Linked DNA regions of Drosophila melanogaster. The protein of the gene in region 2 interacts with the protein of the main gene of each other region in a pairwise test. Each region holds a gene or a part of one and is shown on either strand. Other genes may lie near its edges.

Region 1 (6,489 bases), on a different chromosome or scaffold from region 2:
TTTGCTTTATGGAGGAAGGCGCGACGAAGGACAATAGAAAATTATTACTTCAATTGGCGACAGACGACTGTGCTCAGGTACATGCATCTTGAGCAACTAAAGACACCGCCGCCCACGGGACACTTCACACCCAGCAAGGCGAGACACACCGCAAAACGACCTGTCCTGGGAATCCTTGGAATCCAAGGAGCGTGGTCACTTTATGGGCTGTGCCGATGTCGCGTCAACTTATGTGTCTCTGTCTCGATTAGGTTTACTGTCGATCTAGTTTACCATGCACCCGCATGACGCAATTACACCTGATTTATCCGAAGGTCCACCTAGTGTATCTGAACAGAGATCTGCTTGCATCCCACTGTCTTTTGTGTGACATTTCTTTGTCGGTATTTTTGCAGGCGTGAAGCGTTACATTTTCAAATCAAATCTTTTGTTCTAACTGCTGCGATATTTGTATAAAAATATTTTACGATTCTCTGGCGCCGTTCGCTGCCAGAAATCTCCAGTCATCATCATCAGCTGGCCAAGCACCGGAGATATGCCGTCTCGTCCGGATCCGGAGTTGCAGTGGAGACTGGGACATGGGAATGGGCATTACTCGGAAGAGCGTGCCAGGGCGACAGCGAAATGCTAATTTAATAGAGGCTCTTCGACATTGACTTTCTTTCTAGTCCACTGAATGCGAACTCAAGCTTGAAATTATTTGCTGGCGACGAGTCAAGGAAATAAACGCATGTCTGTCGACAGATTTGTCTGATGAATGCACTTATGAGTTGAATCAAGTTCAAGATCAATGGCATTTGAACCAAATTGTATGTAGCTTGTCCTGAAAGAAAATCGATAGATAACTAATCAAATTCTATAATTAGTTCAACTGATTAAAGTAGTAATTAAAGTAAAAGTAATAGTACTAAAAATCGCAAATAAATCTTCACAGAGTTATTGTTTCTATTTTATCCAAATACAAAAATTTGTTCAGACCACAAGAAATAAGGGAAATGATAAAGAACCATTTAAAAATTAAGTTCTATAAAAATGGTGTTTCAAATAAATTGGATTTAAGTTATTCCTTTTTCTTTAAATTACAAATCATTGCATGTTTTCAATTTGCGTTGATGAATAAGTTAAGTTAAGTAAGTAAGTAAGTCTTAATATATTTTAGAATAATATAGCTATTCGTTAACGTATTTCAGTCCAATGTGTTTTAAATGATCAATGGCTCACTAAGTATCAATTATAATACTTCCTGTGAATATAGGAATGTGCATTTCAATCTACTTCCACCCGCAGGCACTTAAGCCCTCAATTTCCAATGCTGACAAGCACTAATCAATAGGCCCTCGAGCCAGAGCCCAAAAACTATATGAATTTCGATTTTCCATTTCTCAGTTTTTTTTTTTTTTGGGCAAATCAATAGCGAGGGCATAGCATATCGAAATTCCAAAACGGGCAATTAACAAAGCCAACAAAATTTATGTTTCACCTGTCTGCAGCAAAGTACATAAATACCCGAGAAATGCCAGACAATGTCGAAGATAGGGAACCCAGCTAATTACACGGGGGCATGGCAAACGACGGAGGGACAGCGCCCAAACGGAAGACGGCTGCAATGGAAATGGCAACGGACATTTTCCGACAGCGCCAAAACCAACAAAAAAACATAAAAACGAAACAGACACACAAGAAAAAAAAAGAATAAACCGAGAGGAGAAGAAAAGGCAACGGCAGCTGAAGACAGCAGACAGGCGCGCTGTGGAAAATCTCACTTCTGAATTACAAGCAACGCCATAGCCCGGCTAAATCCACATCCATATACATACATGCATACATATATCCAAGTCTCCTAACTGACAGTGATCGAGAGGGAGACAGGGAATGCGGCTTGAAGGCAGTGGCGCAGAAAAACACTGCGGCTGATGAAAATCAACAGGGCTAAGCGTTAACTTCGCCACTCGGCTGCACGCAGTTCGCTTTTCCCGCTCCTCCGCTGCTCACAAAATGGCGCCCACCGTCGATCCACCGATCTTCGCCAGAGTGGGACAACACTAGTACCCACATAGCGTAGGCGTCTTCCGCCAGCCAATCACAGGCGCTGCCCACGGAGAACCGGTTTTCCAAGCGTAGCTGCTACCTGCTTGGCATCGGGAAAAACTGGCTGCGACCCACGGCGAGTTAGCACTCGAGCGGAGCTACTCGAGATCAGTTCGTTGCGAAACGTCGAGCGTGAAAGAACCTCAGAGCGCATCTTCAGTTACGAGCGAGTGAATAACAGTGAAGAATTCCAAACTACCAGTTATTATCAGAACGTACTAAGACATTTTACCAAGTGCTATACACCGTGCAAGTGCTTCGAAATGCTTTCCATGCAAGAGCTAATGGATATGCGGATGCAGCAGCAGCTGGCCCACGAGATCTACCGCCAGCAGATCATGCAGCGGATTCCAGGTGCGTTTCTAGACATAAGGTCTATGGGTGTTGATCGAATGCCGTCGGCAAATGGTTTCGCGATTTTCAAACTAAAAAATATGAGAAAATATATGCAACCCAAAAGAGCGTACTTAAAAGTGTTTTAATATTGTGATTATTATTAGTGCTTCGGATTTTATGAGCAATAAATATTCTACTTCAATTTAACTTATCATTATAACTAGAAATTGTGGTCATAACTGCATTGCCTTTATTTTCAATCTTTGATTGAACATATCTTAATAGGTATTATATTCCGATAAAATACAATAGATAGCGAAATTCCAGCTAACTTAGAAATATGATTTCTGCAACACCCACCTCCCTGAAGAGGTCCATTGCAAACCCATGCTAATGAACTAACCAAACCGCTTCTTCCAGATCCCTTTCCATCGATGTTACCTTTCAACATGCCCCACCAGCAGCCGCACATGATGCTGCCCAGTCGTCCCACCCTGCCCGGCGTGGAGGCCAAGTTGGAGAACAACGATTTGTGGCAACAGTTCCATAAAATCGGCACCGAGATGATCATCACAAAGAGCGGCCGGTAAGTTTCATTTTCCCGCGAACCCATTATCCTATGCAAATAGCCCGAGTTTTTCCAAAAGTCAAGTGCGTCGCACGGCCTATGTAAATATTTGCTCCTGTACCAGGGCCAACTTTCCCAATTCCTATCTCATACGAGTACGAGTATGCCTATACCCTGAACCTTTCGATTTCCCGGGCCTAATGTGGCGCCTGGCCATAACTCAAAACGCAGCAGGAGCTCTCGCTCGGAGTGACAACAAGTGCAGTGTAGTCGGCGGAGGAGAACACAAGAGCAAGACGCCGCCCTGGCGCCGGTCCGATCATAAAAATCTTTCTTCTCTCGGTTTCGGCGTTGACAATCGGGTTTGGTCGATCTACCTGCGCTTTTCACACTTTGCCCACAATACCACCATACCATACCATACCATACCATTCCATGCCCTGTCCGTGACCCTTCTCCAAAGCGATGAGACCAGACCCTAGCGTATCTCAGATAGGGGAACTATCGAACAGCGACTACCGAGCGGGAGCCGAGACAAATTTACATAATTATGATCTGAACTCGAAGTTTAAGTTGCAAATGTACACGGAAAGAAATCGTGCAACTACAAGCATTATTTTTGGCCAAGGCTTAGAATATGGCTGGGCATCATAGAAATCAAGAGATCTTGAACATAAATATATATTTGTTATATATATATATATTTCGTAATATTTTATTGAAAATGATTAATATCCAGTAGAAATATTATTTTTCTGTGCTGTTTAATCCGCGATAACAGTCACTTTCTCGGCTCATTAGACATGCATTCGACGCTTGGAAGCCGTTAGGGCGACTCCCAGATTTTGTCTAATTGCTTGGCGCCAGATTGCCCCAGCTCCTCCAGCACTCTGTTGCTCCCCGTGCTCCTCCATGAACCAACGATCCACACAATTAATCATGTGCCGTTGGCATATTGTTTTGGGCTGGCAAGATCTGTTTGCGTTACCTTTTAAATCGATGCGTTGCGCTACGCAGACTCCCCGCTGCCCTCTACTTTTCGGTCCATAATTACACACTTGTTAGCCGGGGCAACAAATCACAGGCGATATGAAGTAAAATAGAATAGATGCCCGGGCGACGCCTTCTTTTGCGATGCTCCTTCCCTGATTTATATGCAGTTCGTGGCAGGCCACTTAATCAAGTCCTATTCTTTTCATCCTTACAGACGCATGTTCCCCTCGATGCGAGTTTCCCTCAGCGGACTGGAGGAGGAGGCCAGCTATTGCGTACTCCTCGAGATGGTGCCCATTGGCGATTGCCGCTACAAGTTCTCCGGTTCCCAGTGGGTTCCGGCCGGAGGAGCCGAGCCCCAGAGTCCGCAGCGCATGTATCTGCATCCGGACAGTCCGGCGACCGGTGCCCATTGGCAATCCCAGGCATTGCTCTTCAACAAGGTCAAACTGACCAACAATACACTGGACAGCAGCGGACATGTAAGTTTGAGTGAGCTCATAGTGTATCTTTTGAATGGGTTACTTATAGTTTCCATTAACATTTCCAGATCGTTTTGGCCAGCATGCATAAGTACCAGCCACGCCTGCACATCATCCGCAGCAGCGAGCTCACCCAACTTCCATGGGCTCCTCAGCAGGCGTTCGTTTTCCCGGAGACGGAGTTCGTAGCTGTCACAGCCTATCAGGTGGGTTAAAGACAACATCCTTTCCGTCCTCCATTGAGGACATGTCTGACAGGACAAAGACTCTGCGGGGGTCGTCGCCTAATTGAGGCATTTTCAAATTTGTCGCCTAGCCAGCCACTTGAGTTTGATCCTAACGAGGATCACAGTGGAACTTTTCAAGTGCCCTCCCAGCCGACGGCTACTTACTGACGCCTCGTAGTTTAAATTTCGACCAGACAAAAACAATAGAGATCGTTTTTCATACTATTTAAATTAGATTTAAAACTACGCGTTTTTTTACATATTTATTTAATCTGCAAATCTTTTTTATAAGGCCGTAAATTTATTTATTGTTCCTTTTTACGATCTAATTGAAAATTCAAGTGTTAAAAGTAATACATTTAGAGCTAATTCGTTTTAAGAATTCATTGTTGTATAAAAACTGATAGTAATTAATCATTTATGTGCTTAAATTAATTTATAAATTTGTTCTCATGCTTGCAGAACGATCGCATCACCAAATTGAAGATCGATAACAATCCGTTCGCTAAGGGTTTCCGCGAGTCGGGTCAATCCCGCTGCAAAAGGAAGCTGAACAGCAGCGGAAACTCGACGCTGGAGTCGGAGGATGATGGCTCCAGTGTGAGCAGCTGCGATTCTCCGCAGGCGAAGCGCCAGCGCCAGGATTTTGAGCAGGACTCAACGGGTAGTGTTTCGCCAGCTTACTATGGAGCAACTCATCCAGTTGCCAATCCTATGTCGCCGTATCTCCGCCATCACTTGAGCTATGGACCCAGTGGAGCTGCCGGATTGCCGCCCAGCATTGCAGCTGCCTATTTTGGTGGAGTTCCTCCGCAGATTCTGCCAATGCCACCAGCCACATATGCGCCAACTGTCGCGCCTGTTAGTCCTGTGGCCTCGCAACCCGTTGGCTCCAGCACACCCACAACATCACCAAGGCCTTCAACCTCAACGAAAAGAAATAGCTTCAGCATTTCAGCCATTTTGGCCTATTGAAAGAAATATTTGGTAAACATACTTAAGTTGGAGTCATCTTCTGTTGTGATTAGTGAGAAACGTGTGCATATACTTTGTAAGCTAATCTATGCTACATATAAGATCGTTTAAGAACCAAGCTGCAATCATATACATTGTTAATTCGTTTTAAGAGTCTTTGGTCAAAATAAACAAATCAGACATCGAATCCGTAGAAAATGCAAAACTATTTGCGGGGGGGGGGGGAGCAACGGTAACCTTCAGCGTTTCCGTTTTTACAGGTTTTTGGCCATATCGCAGTGCCTGGGCCAAAAGCAGTTATGCGACCGCTTTGGCGGGCCTAAGACAAATTAATGCTCTCCATTATGGTGACCAGTCGGTTCTCGAGTCACACGTATCTGAAAAACATCCAACTCCGGTAGTAGTTAAAGCAATTCTCCAAAGATAAGGCGTCCATTATGAGCAGCGATTTGACGGCTTTCAGGCTGTTTGGTCTTTGCCGACTCCCAGCTCCCCTGCGATTCCATCCGCATCCCTGGGACACAGAGATGACGCAGAGGTGGGTGCACGGAGAAAAAAAAGTATCACACATTTCAATTCAACTAAGTAAGTTTTGGCTTATGGTATTGCTAATAGAAATGGTTTTTAAAGTAAATTTAAAGAAAGAAAAATTCAACATTCATCTGATCATTTCAAAATCGAAGCACTTTTCTTGCAGTGCACTTGCTGCTGTTGCCGTCTTGTGAAATTTTCGTTTTATCGCACCTTTTATGGCCATTGGCCAGGCCAAAACGAAGTGGGAGCTGGCCAAGAAACCGAAACAGAAACCGATGCCGAGTCG
Region 2 (5,731 bases):
AGGAAATTGGCAAAAACTACCCTAATATGTACCATGTAAATTCGTTTCTTCGATCAGAATTGATTTCGGCCCGAAAATCGTCTTCTAGCACAACACGCACACTTATACGCGTTCTCGTCTCTTGTTTTTACTCACACAAGCAAGCAAATTATATTTTTAGATTTCTTACGCTCTCAGCGGGAGTGAGCCGAAAGAGAGTAATTTTGGCCGTCACCAAAAAAGTGGCTGCATAGTGCCAAACCAATGTATGGCCGTTACGCATCTTGTTATTCTAGTGTCTTTGGTTTGGCACTATGCAGCCACTTTTTTGGTGACGGCCAAAATTGCTCTCTGTCCGCTAGCTTACGCTGAGAGCGTAAGAAATCTTAAAATAGAACTTGCTTGCTTGAGTAAGTAAAAACAAGAGACGAGAACGCGTATATGTGTGCGTGTTGTTCTAGAAGACGATTTCGGGCCGAAATCAATTCTGACCGAAGAAACGAGTTTACATATTTGATGAAATTGCGCGCTGTTAAAAATATCAAATTGAAATATAACAAAAAAAAAAAAAAAAAAAAAAACTGGAACTGAAAAACAACTAAATCTAATGTGCATTTTAAATAACAAAAATTTTACATACATCATATTAAGTCAAATGACTTGAGAAATATACTAAATATATACGGAAATTATTATAACAACTTTAATTTAAAACATACATTTTCCAAAAAGAAGACATTACATTGAGAAATAAATATTTCATAAAAATAATACGAAGTAGAAAACAAAAATATATAAAAATAAAAAAAATATGTAAACTGTTTATTGCAAAAGTCATATCATAGACACTAGAATTATTCTAGTGTCTTTGCTTTGGTCATATCTTGAGCATGCAAAGGAATGGCTATTACAATATAATTTGATTAGTATGCTACGCAAACCTCTAGCATTTTGATAGGAAAAAGATTCGGACAAAGATTCGTTGTCAGTTTTTTGAAGAAGATGAAGAGGCGGATGGTGCAGTGGTCTGGCCATGTGAGGAAAGTTTATTTCCCACGGGCCCCTTTTTCCTATTTTTGATCCTAGCTTCAAAATCTTATATATCTTATGTCCATAGCGTAAGATAAGTTAAATTTTTCCACTTTTATATTACTTTTATATTATCGACTTTTGTTTTGTCTTGCATATAAGACCATACATCAGATGATTTTTGATCAGGTGAAAACCGAGAAACGAAAGTTTGTTTCTTAAGTGGAATCACCGCGAGTGGTTTTGGCCCTGCAGATTGTATTTCTGAAGTGCCAACTTGTGCCGGGAGTCCGGACTCAATGTTCCCTTGTGGTGGTAAACTAATCGGGACAGGTAGAATCACTGGTTAAGAAACCAGTGCAGACAATTCGGAATCTTTAGCAATCCCAGGGTGGGCTCCCTCCACAGCGGATTGATCGGATTGCTCCAAATCTTATTTAGCTGCCGATCTTAGCAACATATGCGGATTTTCTACGATTGACAGCTGATCAGTTGTGGAGTCAAAATAACATGTCAACCAGATATATTCGTATTCCTAATATTCCTGTAAATATCCTTGAATTGAACAGAAGAACAAATATATCGGTTTTACTTAAAAATTAGAATATCAAATTGATATGCATTGATCACGGTTTTACATTTAGATTTTAAAAGCTGACAGTACGTCCTAAAGGGGTTTACCACCACAGAGCAGTTGCTCGAAGGAGTTCTTTTCAATCGAATGTGCCCTGTGCAAGTGCCGCATTACGGTTCTACGGTACAATATTGGCATAAAACTTCCAAGTGGAAATAATCGATCAAACATTATCGATAGTGTTTCTATGTGTGGCCCAGCCAGATACACATATAAAAGGCAAATGTTTTAAGGCCAGAAATTCGAAAATGAAATCACTGAAGAATTCTGGTATATAATAGGCTGTATGCTATATTTGCATTATATCACATAATTTCTATTTATTTAATCTGGACGGAATTTGTTGTAATTTGTCTAAGATAAACCTTAAACGGAAATGGATACATTTGACGTTTCTGATAGGAACAGGTAATTTAAGATCAAGTGAAGATTAAACCAAAAACTATCAATTGTTTTAACATCAAAATGTGTTCTTAAAGCTGGTACTTTGGTCCCATGTCTAGACAGGATGCTACTGAAGTTTTGATGAACGAACGCGAGCGGGGAGTGTTTTTAGTCCGTGATAGTAACTCGATAGCAGGGGATTATGTACTTTGTGTAAGGTAAGTAAACAAAATTAATACATTCAGACTTTGATTGTGTACTTATCGTTTCATTTCTGTTAGCTAATTTTTATTTTAAAAATTAAACTAAAAATTGTGTATAGTGAGAAATACTTAATGTCAGCCTTTCTTAATCGCAGCTTACCATAAAGGTTTATATAGAAATTCCTGTTTCCATTTTAAGCATGTATACGTGTTTTATAGATGTACTTTAAACATTTATCTGTAATTTTTAAATATAAACAAATTTCTTACATTAAAAAAGGATATTCTTTTTAATAGACCTGGGTGAAAAAAGTAATAAGAAAGAGAAATCTAAAAATTTTTATCAATTTTGTGTGTTTCAGTTTTGGGAAACCTTAAAAATTGTGTTTGTTTTATTATTTCTTTCCCAGAAAATTTTTGAAATTTCTCTTTCCCATTCAACTAGCTGAGTAACGGGTTCTCTCTTGTTTTGTTTGATATTTAGATCCAATGGCAAGGGTCTATGGTCAATTTTGTATTTCTTTAATTTAGTATGGAATGTACCTTTAAGGACGATGATAAAATGTCAATGATGATCTCTCATAGCCATTGCAATTTAGTATGTTTTTAATATGTGCGCCATGTATTGACGGGGTAAATAAATTGAAGAATTTAACGACGTAAACAAAAATAATTACGAATTAAAGGAACTCAATTTCTACTGTATGTCTCGCCACGCGGCATTTATTAAAGAATTAGATGAATAAACGTCTCAAGAATATTCTTTTTGATTTTAAAAGTTCTTTATTAATATAAATGTATATACATTAGAATATTAAAAATAGGTTTTCATATTTAAACTTGAAACAAATTTTTGTTTAGTTTTTAAGGATTTTGCGCCTGTTATAAAAGAATTGTTTACTTATAAAGATTTTTATTATTTAGAGAAGATACAAAAGTTAGCAACTACATCATTAACAAAGTTCAACAACAGGATCAAATCGTTTACCGCATTGGGGATCAGTCTTTTGACAATCTACCGAAACTCTTAACTTTTTACACTCTTCATTATTTGGATACAACCCCTTTAAAACGGCCTGCGTGTAGAAGGGTGGAAAAAGTAATAGGAAAGTTCGATTTCGTTGGCAGCGTGAGCATTTACACAATTATTCATTTTTGTAAGTAATTTAATTTTCTTATTTATCAAAGGATCAAGATGATTTACCTTTTCAAAGAGGTGAAGTTTTAACAATAGTTCGAAAAGACGAGGATCAATGGTGGACTGCGCGTAACTCCTCGGGGAAAATTGGTCAAATACCGGTTCCCTATATACAACAGGTGCGTTAAGCAAATATTTGGATTTGTTATCCTTTTTTGTAACGGGTAACCCGTTTTTAATTTCTTTGTTTCCTTATAACGCTGATGTTAAAATACTACACTTGAAATGAATGGTGAATTCGGTAAAACCAGTCGCGTCAATTTTTATGGAATGCAAATAAAACTTTCGATACGGCGACACTAACGCTAGGATATTAATAATGTAAAATCAGAAAGAAACCCGAAAACTAGTGAGACGTATAAGGGTCAATAATGTCAAAGAGTCGCCAGAAGTAAATATGTAAAAATATATGTATGTATGTAAAAAATGTAAATTGAGCTCTTTTCCCCACGCCTATTTTATGACTAGCGGGTATCTGATAGCCGAGAAACTTGTTCAGAAATAATTATTGAGTTCATGTAATAATACCCTTAAATTGTTGCGATTAGATTCTTTAAAGTCTGACTACAATCTCAATACATTATAAAATCCATTACAAAAACCATTTGCATTGAATTAAACTGACAATGGACAAGCTCCATTGCCTTCAATATATTCGTCCGCTTAAATAGAGAAGGCCAAATTGCGAACGACCTTTGATAAATAAGTTTGTTAAAGGCATTGATTTTTAAAAGTTAAATCATTTTCAAATTTGTTCTTTTCAGTATGACGATTATATGGATGAAGATGCTATTGATAAAAACGAACCTTCCATTTCGGGATCTAGCAATGTATTTGAAAGTACTCTTAAAAGGACAGATTTAAATGTAAGTGTTCCAAAAAAGTATTTAAAAAAAAAATAATGTTTTACATTTTAATTTATCGAAGCGAAAACTACCTGCATACGCCCGCGTAAAACAGTCAAGGGTCCCTAACGCATACGATAAGACTGCATTAAAATTGGAAATAGGTGACATTATTAAAGTCACTAAAACAAACATTAATGGGCAATGGGAGGGAGAATTAAATGGAAAAAATGGTCATTTTCCCTTCACGCACGTTGAATTTGTCGATGATTGTGATTTAAGCAAAAACTCCACAGAAATATGCTAAATAGGAAGGAATGGAAGGAATTTCTTTTGATAATTTTGATTTTTGAGCTAATTGTATGATTAATAAGTTGTGCATACCAATTGTTAACATAATCAGAAAATTAAAATCTTATTAAGTAAAATAAAAATAAACGGGTACGAAGGACATAATAAAATTTTTACCGTTTTTTCGTATGATTCTTATACAAAAAAATTATGAATTTGAAAATCGATTTGGTTTTTTTTATGAATTGTGTAACTAAACGGTAGGTGCTACAGAAAACCCTTTGGGCCTTATATTTTTTATACCCGTTACTCGTAGAGTAAAAGGGAATACTACAATAGGTTCGTTGAAAAGTATGTAACAGGTGGAAGAAAGCGCTTCTGACCATATAAAGGCTGTTCAATATACAAAGACCCCAAAAGCCGGATACATCTCCGAGTAACGCCAGAACGCCAGAAGTTTTTTTATCACCCGCAAAGAGGTCCTTATTTGGCCCTTCGACCACCTTCCAAAATTTGATATTTCCAAACGTCCATAATTCGAGGCTAACAGAACCTACCTCTAAGGCACCAACTCTACAAGCTGCCCAAACTAATTTGACGTCGAATCCTTAATCACCGACGCATCACCAACGCAGTATTAAAACTATGACATATACTTTGCAGCATCATATGATTTCATTCATGTCGTTCGTGTGGATTATCACGCAAGACCTATCTTCCTGGAACGTTAAAATAATGTGTATCTTTAGATCAATAGTTAGTTAGTGCTTCTCCTGATACCACGTTCCGAGAGCACCTAGAGTACGCCCACAAAAAGGCCAGCGCTACTACTGGTTCTCTGCCGAGAATGCTTCTAAACACGAGAGGTCCTAAGCAAACCACTAGCTACCACGTTGATAACGGGCGACAAAGCATTTTTGGGCGGCTGAAGGGCGTTAGAGTGGCCGTGGCAAAAAGTTTTTTGGGAAATCGATAGAAAATTACAAGACTAATCAAAATATTTAAAGAATATCAACACACTTTTTCAAAAGTGCGGGCGTGGCAGTTTTGCGCGGTTTGTAGGCGTTAGAGTGGGCGTGGCAACATGGGTCAACGCTGCGCTGCGTCTTTTCTAGATTCTGTATGCTGAATCTCATCCTTCTAGCTTTTATAGTTCCTGTAATCGTGA
Region 3 (8,015 bases), on a different chromosome or scaffold from region 2:
GAAAACACAAAAAATTGAATTTCATATTTTCTTTGGCGAAACAAGTATCATTTCTTTGGCCGGCGATAAATGTATTATTTCCTGCGGATGCAATGTGCTACCAAGGGAGGATGTTGTCCATAACTAATGGTAGTTTTCCTATAAAAATAAATATCCAAATTGGTGCGTAAAAAACGCACCGGATTCAGTATAGCAACAAATTAAGAGTTATTGCTAATGAAGGAAGTATGAATCTCCCAATTGACTTTAACATTCCATTCCCGAACAGCCGCACCCACTTATCCCACGCTGGCTACCAATGCGCTCCTCCGCTTCCATCAACATCAGAAGCAGCAGCACCAGCAGCATCATCATCATCAGCACCATCCCAAACACCTCCATCAGCAGCACAAGCCCCCGCCACACAACTCGACGACAGCCTCGGCGCTACTGGCGCCGCTCCACAGCCTCACGAGCCTCCAGCTGACGCAACAGCAGCAGCGATTTCTGGGCAAGACGCCGCAGCAGCTCCTGGACATAGCGCCCACCTCGCCCGCCGCCGCCGCCGCTGCCACATCCCAGAACGGTGCACATGGACATGGAGGTGGCAATGGCCAGGGCAACGCCTCAGCCGGAAGCAATGGGAAGCGCAAGCGATCCTGGTCTCGCGCCGTCTTCTCGAATCTGCAGCGCAAGGGCCTGGAGATTCAGTTCCAGCAGCAGAAGTACATCACCAAGCCAGATCGCCGCAAGCTGGCGGCACGACTGAATCTCACCGACGCTCAGGTTAGTTAAAAGATGGGATTTTCATAGTTTAACATTTGCACATTCGACTCCTTTCATAGCTCTATAAAAACCAATATATTATTATTTTTATACCCTGATTAGGTCAAGGTGTGGTTCCAGAACCGTCGCATGAAGTGGCGGCACACGCGCGAGAATCTGAAGAGTGGCCAGGAGAAGCAGCCGAGTGCAGTACCCGAATCCGGAGGTGTCTTCAAGACATCCACGCCATCCGGTGATGGTACGCCCCAGGAGGCACTCGACTACAGTTCCGATAGCTGCTCCAGTGTGGATTTGAGCGAGCAGGCCGACGAAGATGATAATATTGAAATCAATGTGGTGGAGTAGAGCCGCCTATGTAGATAGCTCCGTTTACACGTGTAAAATGCCATGTAGATGTATTTATTCCTTCATTGCTAGTTGTAATGTAATGTAAAGTAGACAGATACTGCACAAAGTGAACTTAAATTATTTCAATCTGTAAGATAATCTAAACGTTTATGTGTAAACTATTTAAAATAAATTCTCTAGTAAAATGAACTTGTGAATTCACAGCTTGGTTTATTATTAATTTATTATTCACTATTCCATAGAATGAAGCTATAAAAATACGCAATGCTACGCGGCAAGAACAGAAATTTTAATTAAGCAAATACCGCTGCGATCAGCAGAATATGAAACTCGGCGACAACGGGGAGACCTTCTCTAATCAAGTGAACGATAAAAGACGATACGCGACTGAATGGCCAGAGCAAATACGACTGGAGTGAGTTGGTCAAGCGCGGGGGTGCGAATGGGTTTATCCAATACGATCGGATCGGTTGGTGGATCGCGACAGGGGAGTGAGAGGAGGGGGCACTGCGGATATAGAGCACTAATTAGAAAAACAGTGAGGGTAAATTGTTGGTGCACGACATTGAAATCTTACTCACTTGGGCTTTATTGTCATTGTCGGTCTCTTTGGCTGAGTTCGTTCATTTTTTCAATTACTTTAAGACTCCGCTGAAATTATAGAAAACTATAAAAAAATAACAACGATTTATAGCTGAATTTAAAGAACATTACTAAATAGAGAATAGAATAGAAACAATAAATATATATTACTCATACTTTAGCTGCAATCTTACGTTCATATATGATTTATAATTATATGCGTAATTCCTTTAGGGTATTTAACAGTCGGTGAATGACATATGCAATTTCAGCTCAGTTGAAGAAGTCTGTTTGGGCAACATTTGCTCACGTTCAGTTGTTTTTCCCAAAGCGAAGTGCGCGGTTGAGTTTCAGCTTAGGTGTTTGGTACTGCTCCAGAATTTAAAGATCTTTCAGATCTGCACATTGGATTTGCAAAGATAGCCTGGGCAACATGGGCAACACCCAAGCCCGACAACTGGAGAACCGCCAAGTGCCGAATCGGAGGAGCAGTGAGTGGCGAAAATACGGTTTCCGATTCTGATCATAATGATCACACATTTCGTAACCGCTTCGTAGGCATTTTGTGGAACTTTCGGTACTCGAACACAGTGCGTCGTCGCGAAGATTTGGCCGTAATGGTGCACAACTCTAGGATGAGCATAAGCGAGTGGCTGGACCTTCTGGAGCTGCAGCAGTACGAAGGTTTGCATGATCAGCAGTTCCCAATTGAGACTGTATGTTATGTTAACCAGGAAACCTACAGGAGTTCAGCACCGTGGACGATGTGGTGGACATCACGGACAAGGAGCTGAAGCAATTTGGCGTGCGCGGTGCCCATCGCCAGCGGATGGTCAACAGTTTGCTGGGTGTTCGTGCCAAGCGAAGGCAGTCCATGAATCTGGAAGGTAAGCCAGTGAAACGTAGTTCCCCCCACTGAGTTATCTACTCGTATCTTGTCTAGCAATGAGCAGTGCGCCGCGAGCAGTGCCACGGCGCAAGAACTCCTGTCCATTGGTGTATCTGGGTGAGAATCCTCAAGATATGGCGGGAAGCGGCGATAGCGGACCCGGCGTGATTACCACCAAGAGTGGCAAGGTCCTGAAGCAACTAACCTTTGATGAGACTTCCACCATGTAAGTGTGCATTTCAGAATTCAACCCTTCAAAATCTTCTTAAATTTTCCATGCTATTATATTATGCTAATAATAGTTGCAAAAGTATACCACATCCGGCATGTTGGAGTTTTAAAACTAAAATATTCAACATCCTCCACAACATCCACAAGATTTCTTTTTACCCTCAATGGACAATCATAACATAGACTCTGCGCATGCTCCGCGAATTTCCCAAAAAAGTGACTTCGGGCGTCCTTAGAGTTTTCCAACAAAACCCAAAACAAACTGCGCGGAGTAGCGTGGTGCACAGAAATCGGTGTCCAACCCCCAAAAGTGCACCGCACTCGAGTCCTTTGCCGTGAACTTTTCAGAGTAGATTCGAGCGGCAGGGAGTTCAGACTACTACAATACGAAGGACCTTAAACTGCACTCCTTTTTTTTTCGAGACTAGTTCTGTGCTAGTGAAGTCTATCTATTTTCAAATGGAGAGTTTTGTTTAGAAATCGTATTATTCAGGCAGCTGGTGAATCGAGTTCTTTCGTACTACTGAACAATTGGGTTTGGGTGTGTCCTGTCCTAAATTTTCTACTACAAAATGGGCGTAGCAGGTGAGTGATAACAGAGGCAAGTCGATTTCCTAAAAAAACTAAATCCTTTTAGTTGGTATATAAGTTTTTTGAAGTTCCATTCAGTTCATTATGGCAAAACATTAGGTCTGCAATTTGATTTCTTCTTTTTTTGCACTTGAACTTCACACATATAGTGAGTTGTCCATATACCAAGGACCAAATCCTGTGGGAGCAAATTTCCCCAAAGCCGCCTGTGGGAGGAATGGCCTATGATACTATAAAATTACCCAAAATAAGGGAAATTTACTCACTCATTCGTCTTTCCATTGACAGCTACGAGGAACTGAGGCCGCGCTCCAAGTGCAACAGTCCCCATTGGGCCATCGAAGACAGCAGGATGGAGGGCTATGGGAGCAGCAATGCCACCACTCCGCTGGCCACCGCCCAGCCCAGTCCCAGCGAGCAACAGGAGGCCATCGCCCTGAAGAAGGCGCTCGAGTGGGAGCTGAGTTTGGACGCCAGGGAGCTGCGTTCCCACGCCTGGTACCACGGCGCACTGCCACGCCAGCGGGCCGAGGAGATCGTGCAGCGCGAAGGCGACTTCCTGGTCCGCGACTGCGCCTCCCAGCCGGACAACTATGTGCTCAGTTGCCGGAGCAAAGCGGCTGTACTGCACTTCGTACTTAATAAGGTGGGTTCGCACTGTTCTTGGCATTGGAGTACCAGTTTACCAAGTAGTATCTGATGTGGTTATGCATTGCAGTTGGTGCTTCAACCGGAGACGGTTTACGAACGTGTGCAGTACCAGTTTGAGGAGGATGCCTTCGATACGGTGCCCGACCTAATTACCTTCTACGTGGGATCCGGCAAGCCCATCTCGTCAGCATCGGGAGCGCTCATTCAGTTTCCCTGCAATCGCACCTATCCGCTCTCCTTCTACGGCCACAAGATCGTGGGCAACCAACTGCACACGCAGATGCTGGCCGGTCTGCGAGGTCTGAGTCCTCTGAACTCGCCGATGGGCAGCAATGGTGCAGTGGGAGCAGGTATGAACGCTACCTTTCGCTTCGAACCGCAGCAGCAGCAGCAGCAACAGCTCTCGCCGATGGCTGGCTCACCGGCCAGTCCGCACTGCTCGCCGCCGCGGGCGCGTAGAGAGGTGCCTCCACCGCCGCGGCTGCCGTGCAAGAAGCAACAGCGCTCCCAGAGCCTCACACCGGCCCAGGCCATGTTGGTCAGCAACATCAACAAGCTTCAGGAGCAACAACTACAGATGCAGGAGCTCGAGAATGGCAATGGCAACGGAATAATGCGCTTCCAGACAATCGCCAGGTGCAATCCGACCAGTGAGCAGCACCTGGAGAGCAAGTTCACAACCCACTCGCTGCCCAGACCCAACACTTCGGCGGCGCACGCTCTGCGCCAGCAAGCGGTGGCCCGAATCTCGAGCCTGGCGAGAAACTGCAGCCTGGACTCGCCGTCGGACTCACGGCCGCCCAGTCCGCCGCCCAAGCCACGCAAGGAACCCATGGCAGCGGTGCTGGCATACCAGGCCAGTGGATCCGACTCGGGGAACGGGTCCGGTGATTCGGCTCTAGGGGATGCATGTGAGGCGAGCGTACAGCGGGGTGTGATAATCAAGAATCCCCGATTCATGACCACTTCGGTCTCGAACGGAACGCTGAAGAGCTTCACGGAGTTCGACGTCCTGGCCGCTGAGGAAGAACTATTCACCATGGCCATAGAAGAAGTTAAAACAGTAAGTTAAAGGCTAGCTTTAAAAACTTAATTTTACCATTTATTTGCGTTTTTAGGCAAGCAAGTTTGACTTTGAGAACTTTGTTACTTTGCTACTGCCATCTGTGGAGAACAAGCCCCTGGATGGCGATGCCCTCAACACGTTCAAGATGATGCTTCTGGAGACGGGCCCAAAGCTGCTGGCGGAGCACATCACTCGCATCGACATTGCCCTGTTTTTGGAGGAGCCGTCGAACGAGGAGGACTACTATCTGAGCTGTTCGGGTCTTGAGCTGCTAACACTGCCCCATGGAAAGGTCTTTAGGGAGGACATAATAGAGCGGACGCAGTGCATCAAGCTGATGGTCGCTGTGACCATACTCACCTGTCAAACGGATCTGGACCGAGCCCAACTGCTCAGTAAATGGATTCAGATCGCAGTGGAAACTAAGACGGCTCTCGGCAATCTGTTTGGATTCTGCGCCATCATGTTGGGCCTGTGCATGCAACAGGTGAATACTCGTTCGGTGCAGTGTACACTAAAACAAATTACTTTTTAGTTAGTTTAACGCCGAGAGGTATAAACAAGTACATTAGGTCATCACAGTTTTTTGCTTAGCAAACGAGTGATGATTTAGATGATCTTTTTATTATCACAGTTAATCACACGTGAGCAATTAGCAGTTTGGCAACTTGTTTGCAAACCATTAAGCTACATTGTTAGAGCGATACATCATAACCGATTGTCCCACCACCTCTTTCAGATCCAAAAGCTCGACCAGGCCTGGCACATCCTGAGGCAACAGTACACGGACAGCGCCTTCACCTTCGAGGCCAAGTTGCGACCCACGTTGAGCATCATGAACGAGGCCTCCAATCCACAGGCTCCAAACACAACCGTTCCCCATGTTCTGCTGTATGCACTACTGATCGATCGACCCGTTATGGACATCATAAACCACTCCAACATTGACGATCGCCCAGCTCTGTACCACACCTGTATTGCTCCTTGGGAGTCGAAAGCGGATGACTTTGGCATGACCATTAATTTCCAGCACCTGGATGCATCGCGTGGCTTCCTGAAGAACTTGGAACTGTATCGAAAGAATGCCAAGATCATCCTGGAGGATGCTAGTCCTCGGCTCGATGAGCTTCTAGCTGATGCTTTTCGGTAATATGATAGAATACACTATTCTCGAGTCTTCCTCAAGTTTCCCATATCCTCACAGAACCGAGTTCCATGTCAAGTTCCTATGGGGCAGTTCCGGAGCAACGGCCAAGGCCGAAGATCGGCACAACAAACTGGAAAAGGTGCTCACCCTGATGGCCGACAAGTTTTGCATGATGGCCGAGCAGTAAGCTGTGAAATAATATGGACTTAAGTTTCTGGCCGATATCAAATGAACTAACTTAAAGCGAACCTATGCCAGGACCTCCTATCTACTATCCACAATGTCTCCAGACCCTCCGCATCTTTAAATTTCGTGCTGTCTCTACCTCAGCCTGAGTATACATATATCATTTCAGCAGAAACACAAAAGCACTTTATGTTACAGTTCAAATACCGTTTAATCCTTAGTTAAGTTAAATTTAGTATTGTACGCGTATGCAAAACGAACTAGTTATCATATTTTTATGGAAAAACTCTTTAAGAGCCACCTCACTCTGATGTACTACCAAAGTCTTGTATTTACTTACCAATCCCATTATTTATTCTATGCAATAACTTACTCGACTATAGAAGAGACAATATACATTAATCAAAAAAAAAAAAAAAACAAAAAACATCGTAAGCAAACATACTCTCTCACAAAATGATATAGGCATAACGCAATGAATGCATAATTTTTGCAATTTTGTATATGTAAAGATAATGATAACAATAAAGAAACTACTTAAACCCAAATGAATGTTATCTCTTTAGAGGTTTCCGACCTCTGGTTTACAATGCTTGCAGACTTTACTTCGCATTAAATTCATATTTTCAACACAAAGGTTATGATTATTATTATTATTATTAAGTATTAAAATCAAGTAAAAGACCCCTACGGGTATTTTTAAGATTCTTATATTTTTAACTTTCGTAATGACTTTCAAAAATTGGACATCACTTAGGGGGACCGTAAATAGCTTATAGAAAAAGCAATGTCAACCAAATCTTAGCCTAATTAGCCCAATCAGCAAACACGTCGATTAACATTACGGCACTCTGGAGTACTTATAAGCTGGAAAAGCACTTGTGCGGATGGAAAATATCTCAACGAGGAATTCAAAACGAATACCGATTAGCCGGCGAAATGTACAGCACTATCAGCCACTCCAGCGGCGACCAACAGGCCTTATCGGGCCACCAGGAAAGGCGCGTCCAAAGTTCCCAAGGCTGGCCATCCAAACCATAACTCAAACTCACTGTCCACTGCCCACCAGCCATTACCCTGACATTGTGCTCCCGTCGGCACTGGCGATCGGTTGTGTATTCTGGTCCACCCATCCGAGTGGAGCGAGCTTTCAAGCAAGCTTATATCGCTAGCGATACATTTGTGGTGTTTCTCCAAGCTCCCAAGTCGGCTCTTCAATATGAGCGGTTGTCGTCGCAATCGAAAGCTGACGATGGCCGTAAGTGGATGTCTGATAATTGCTGTGATGGCCCTCACCGTTGGGCTTTGTGTGGGACTGAGCGGTGACACCGACGCCCCCGAGGTGAGAATAATAATTTACACGAACATACAACCTGGGCAATTGGGTCAGGTCAACTTACATTTACAGGATTACTTTATAGCATAGCTGCCATAAAAATTAATATTTGTTAGATATACAAAAAGTACCTTAGCTGTATTTACAAGGCTTTTGGGCTTATAATGATATTTAAAGTAAAAGCAACTCATATATCTTTTTTTGAGCATTACAGCAATGTAGG
Region 4 (3,540 bases), on a different chromosome or scaffold from region 2:
AACTAAAAATTTCCTTTTTTTTGCTTTCTATTCGACATAGTTGCTGACTAGATCCTACTCCTCTTCGGTTAATTCTGCCGCTGGCGGTGTTTCAGGTTTTACTACTACCGGTTCCGAGTCCTTTTTATCCTTTTCGTCTTCCTTGGAGGAGCCCTCGGAATTATGTTCACTGCCAAACTTAGGAAGCAATGGTCCTACAAAGGCACATGCCTTGCCTCCAATACTTTGTACCACGGAGCAGGCGCCATCCATGCGATCGCCCTCTACTAGAGGAGTTTCGCCCTCGACGGCGGACAGCTGATCCGCCACTGGACCACCGCGCCTCACAAGGTCAGCGATCGGATCACGGGTTTGGTTTAACACCCTGCCACCCACTTCAGTTAACGAACGGGAAACTACCATAAACAGGGCCACTATGCCCGCAACTCCGATGGCCGTGTGAACCATTTCCATATCTTGGGCAAAGGAGCAGGATCTTCTGGAGGATCAGGAGGGTCGATGTCGGATTTTTCGATCGACCACGATGACAAATAATTCTAGGGCTACTCTCCAGCCATCGCCGAGATGGTATTATAGGTCGAACGGGCCAAGTTTCGGATACTTCGCGAAATTTCATTTATCAGGTAGTTAATGTCATCCGAACTGACCACCTGCTCCTGGTCGACATGGTGCTCCGGCGTTGAATCGTTTACAATCAAGACTATTTTACGAACGGGCTGAATCATGCCGGATACATCGATCACGGGCTCCGACACATGGTGATCAACCAGAAATGCCTGATGCATGATGATCACCAATTGGCGGATTACTGGCACCACGCGATCGAGGACGTTGATTGCCATTGGGGCCAGTACGTGGTGTACCACGTGATCCACAGACGAGGACATGACCAAGAGACTTGAATTTTGAATTTAGAAAACTATTTTCACACAATTTGCGACCTGATAAACTAAAATTCCCAGGAGTTCTAATTTGAAATCTAAGCCATTTCGATTGGAATATTTATATTATTTCCCCAGCAATATTCAACAGTTTGGTGACGATGAATCAATTTTATTATTTCTCTACATAGATGTGTGCGAGGCTAATTGGTGTGCAGTTTCAAAGTTCAACTATATTTGTTCCCGCCGTTATTCTTGCATTTTATACAGGTACTCGTCTCGTCAATAGCTGCTATAGCAACGACTGTGCCAGCCACCGGGGGTGTATCCTTTGTAAATGTCGAAGTTGCACGGACATACTGCGCATCTCGGATAGGGGCCAATGTAGAAAGGGTTTATGGCCGGAGTCCAAGGACGACTTAAGTAAACCATTTTCAGCACTCGAAAGAAGTCTGCAAATCTTATTTTATAAATACATCTCCCACATTTTCTCTTTCGAAACTCACCGGAAATGGAAGAGAAAAATGAGAAATTTAAACAAATGTTTGACCAGAACAACACGTTTCGTGCTTGAAATTTGAATGAAGAAAATGCGTATGTACGCTTATGTGTTATTTTGTTGACATTTAAATCAAGAATGCTGGTTTAAATTTATTTGACTTCATTTTAGATAGATCATAAGAAAATGAATTAATTTTATCTGTATTTTTTATCCACAGTTATTTTGTGCTAAAATAGAAAAGAGCTGGTAATTTGAGGTTAATATATATTATTATTGTTTTTATTATTTATAGATATTCATTTTATTTATTTATTATTATTATTAATTTTTTTGAAATATAATGTTACAATATGACGGTTCGATGCCCAGGAGATGATGAGCTAAATGGGTTTAGCTCAAGATGTTTGAAGATATTAGCAACACACAACAAGGTTGTGTGTTCAGCACATCTCCAAAGGACTCCTGGTTCATTTTTGCAGCTTTGCCTTTTTCCCCACTACTTCTGTTCCCGGAGCTTCGGTTCTTTTTGGGCTTTCTGGTCCAGTGGTTGCTTCGCCGCGTCCTTGTTGGATTGTGGGGCGGGATTGCATCGGGGTAGTTGGGACTCCGGGCAAACTCCGCACTCCGGAACCGTGCAGTGGCCCTCCTCCAAGCAATCGGGGTCACAGCAGGGCGGATCGGGTCCAATGTAGCCCGGATTAAATATGCAAGGCATGCTGCAGCACCTCCACTGAAAACGAAGGTCGAGGCAGATGGCAGTGGCAAATTGGGTCCCACTTTATAGATTTTGTGAATTTACATAGATGCTAACTGGGTGCAATTTTCGGGCCGAGTGAGGCTCATAAATGTTCTCATTTCCATGGGTATTGAAACACAATGGAACGGGTAACTAGATGCCCGAGTTGCGCAAATCTCTAAACAAAGCTAGTTAATTTCGTACTAGAATCGATGCGAATAGCTCCCACATTGAACTCTATCTCCCAAAATCCGAATCAAAGTCCAATCGCCCTTAAAATCACCGGTTAGTGCGTGCAGAACGCTTATAATTATTTCATAATCGGGCAACACTTCAGTTTTATGGTGACAAAAGCCAGCGGAAAGATAACTGCAACTGCAGGCCATCGAAACTGGGCCACAAATGGCTGCAGGCACAAATATGGAATTTAAGTTGAAATTAATGAATAATTAAGCTGCTTTGGGCAGACGCTCGCAGCGGAAGTACAGCATTTGCATAGCTAACACAATGAACTACATACGGCCGGACAAGACTTGGCCGTTCATAAATTAGATATGCAAATGTAAATGCGAATGGAAAACTAACGGCAATTCCTTTGTCAATTAATCAATCAATCAACGCAGCCGCTCGCTGCGATCCAGAAAGCGATGCGGAAATCACTTGTCCCACATATGTACCTCTGCCCCCGCCCAGAAACTCCATCCATCGCCATTTCCCCCTGGCCACTGCATCTAGCTGCATCTGGCTGCATCTCCATTCATCTACATCACGCATGCCAATTTGCCTCAGCACGGTTTTTGATTGCCCGCTAAGTTCGGAGCGTTGTGAGCCCCCATCGATGCTTATCCCCCGGTTTTAAGGCGATGGCAGAGTCATTAGCATCAAAGGGCCATGGTGATATGACCAGCGCTCCTGGCAGCTCATCTGCACTGTGGTCTTTGCAGTGACCCAAAGAGTTTGAACCGAAGTGCTTTGACTTGGGTTAATTTGTGGGCTTTCAGCTTGGAAAGTATAAAAGTTTCACATGCATTGTTCAAGCACACAAAATACCGACAAAAAGACCGAAAAGGGTTTATTTTAATTAAATTGGATGTGATAAATCGAAAATAGTGATGTTTATGATTGAGGTAGATAGCATAATTTTAGTCAACACTTTAAGCTTATCATTATCATTAAAATATAAATAATTTTTCGGATTCGACCCACTGTGCAGCGTTGTCGGCTTTCAATGTCGCCGGCTGCAGCCATCAAAGTCGTGTGCACTATTTGTGTAATTTATATTCAAAGCGTAACGCGGTGCGTCGACTGCGTGTGTAGGTGGGTGGGGAAATGGGCGGTAAGTGGGTGTTGGGGCGGAGTGCTAGGGGGACGGTTCACTTGGTGGTTTTGGGACCGGTCACTCCGAGCAAACGGACTCTAGT

Evidence for each region.
Region 1: the proteins of Crk (region 2) and Doc1 interact in a two-hybrid assay, tested with the Drosophila melanogaster proteins (one large-scale study listed by BioGRID).
Region 3: the proteins of Crk (region 2) and CG9098 interact in a two-hybrid assay, tested with the Drosophila melanogaster proteins (one large-scale study listed by BioGRID).
Region 4: the proteins of Crk (region 2) and CG42659 interact in a two-hybrid assay, tested with the Drosophila melanogaster proteins (one large-scale study listed by BioGRID).

What each region holds. Positions count from the first base shown.
Region 1 is NT_037436.4:9,039,189-9,045,677, forward strand, and holds Doc1 (Dorsocross1), read left to right. Parts: upstream 1-2,186; 5' UTR 2,187-2,351; coding exon 2,352-2,442; intron 2,443-2,640; exon of another isoform or gene 2,641-2,709; intron 2,710-2,844; coding exon 2,845-3,010; intron 3,011-4,199; coding exon 4,200-4,467; intron 4,468-4,535; coding exon 4,536-4,673; intron 4,674-5,156; coding exon 5,157-5,669; 3' UTR 5,670-5,854; downstream 5,855-6,489.
Region 2 is NC_004353.4:208,437-214,167, forward strand, and holds Crk (Crk oncogene), read left to right. Parts: upstream 1-1,787; 5' UTR 1,788-1,926; exon of another isoform or gene 1,927-2,001; 5' UTR 2,002-2,018; coding exon 2,019-2,050; intron 2,051-2,121; coding exon 2,122-2,244; intron 2,245-3,153; coding exon 3,154-3,358; intron 3,359-3,417; coding exon 3,418-3,546; intron 3,547-3,678; coding exon of another isoform or gene 3,679-3,744; exon of another isoform or gene 3,745-3,838; intron 3,839-4,191; coding exon 4,192-4,293; intron 4,294-4,354; coding exon 4,355-4,579; 3' UTR 4,580-4,729; downstream 4,730-5,731. UniProt on the Drosophila melanogaster protein: Adapter protein which interacts with C-terminal portion of mbc, homolog of human DOCK180. May play a role in cellular processes throughout development.
Region 3 is NT_033779.5:6,006,350-6,014,364, reverse strand, and holds CG9098 (uncharacterized protein), read left to right. Parts: upstream 1-2,026; 5' UTR 2,027-2,128; coding exon 2,129-2,186; intron 2,187-2,253; coding exon 2,254-2,379; intron 2,380-2,429; coding exon 2,430-2,582; intron 2,583-2,638; coding exon 2,639-2,810; intron 2,811-3,131; exon of another isoform or gene 3,132-3,400; intron 3,401-3,694; coding exon 3,695-4,052; intron 4,053-4,124; coding exon 4,125-5,120; intron 5,121-5,175; coding exon 5,176-5,610; intron 5,611-5,862; coding exon 5,863-6,269; intron 6,270-6,327; coding exon 6,328-6,457; 3' UTR 6,458-7,001; downstream 7,002-8,015. Other genes in the region: H2.0 (homeodomain protein 2.0), read left to right, coding at 269-765, 868-1,110; Gal (beta galactosidase), read left to right, coding at 7,676-7,798.
Region 4 is NT_033779.5:18,005,341-18,008,880, reverse strand, and holds CG42659 (uncharacterized protein), read right to left. Parts: upstream 1,522-3,540; 5' UTR 1,388-1,521; intron 1,334-1,387; 5' UTR 1,314-1,333; coding exon 1,164-1,313; 3' UTR 1,039-1,163; downstream 1-1,038. Other genes in the region: CG42635 (uncharacterized protein), read right to left, coding at 55-453; CG42634 (uncharacterized protein), read right to left, coding at 543-887; CG5693 (uncharacterized protein), read right to left, coding at 1,880-2,098.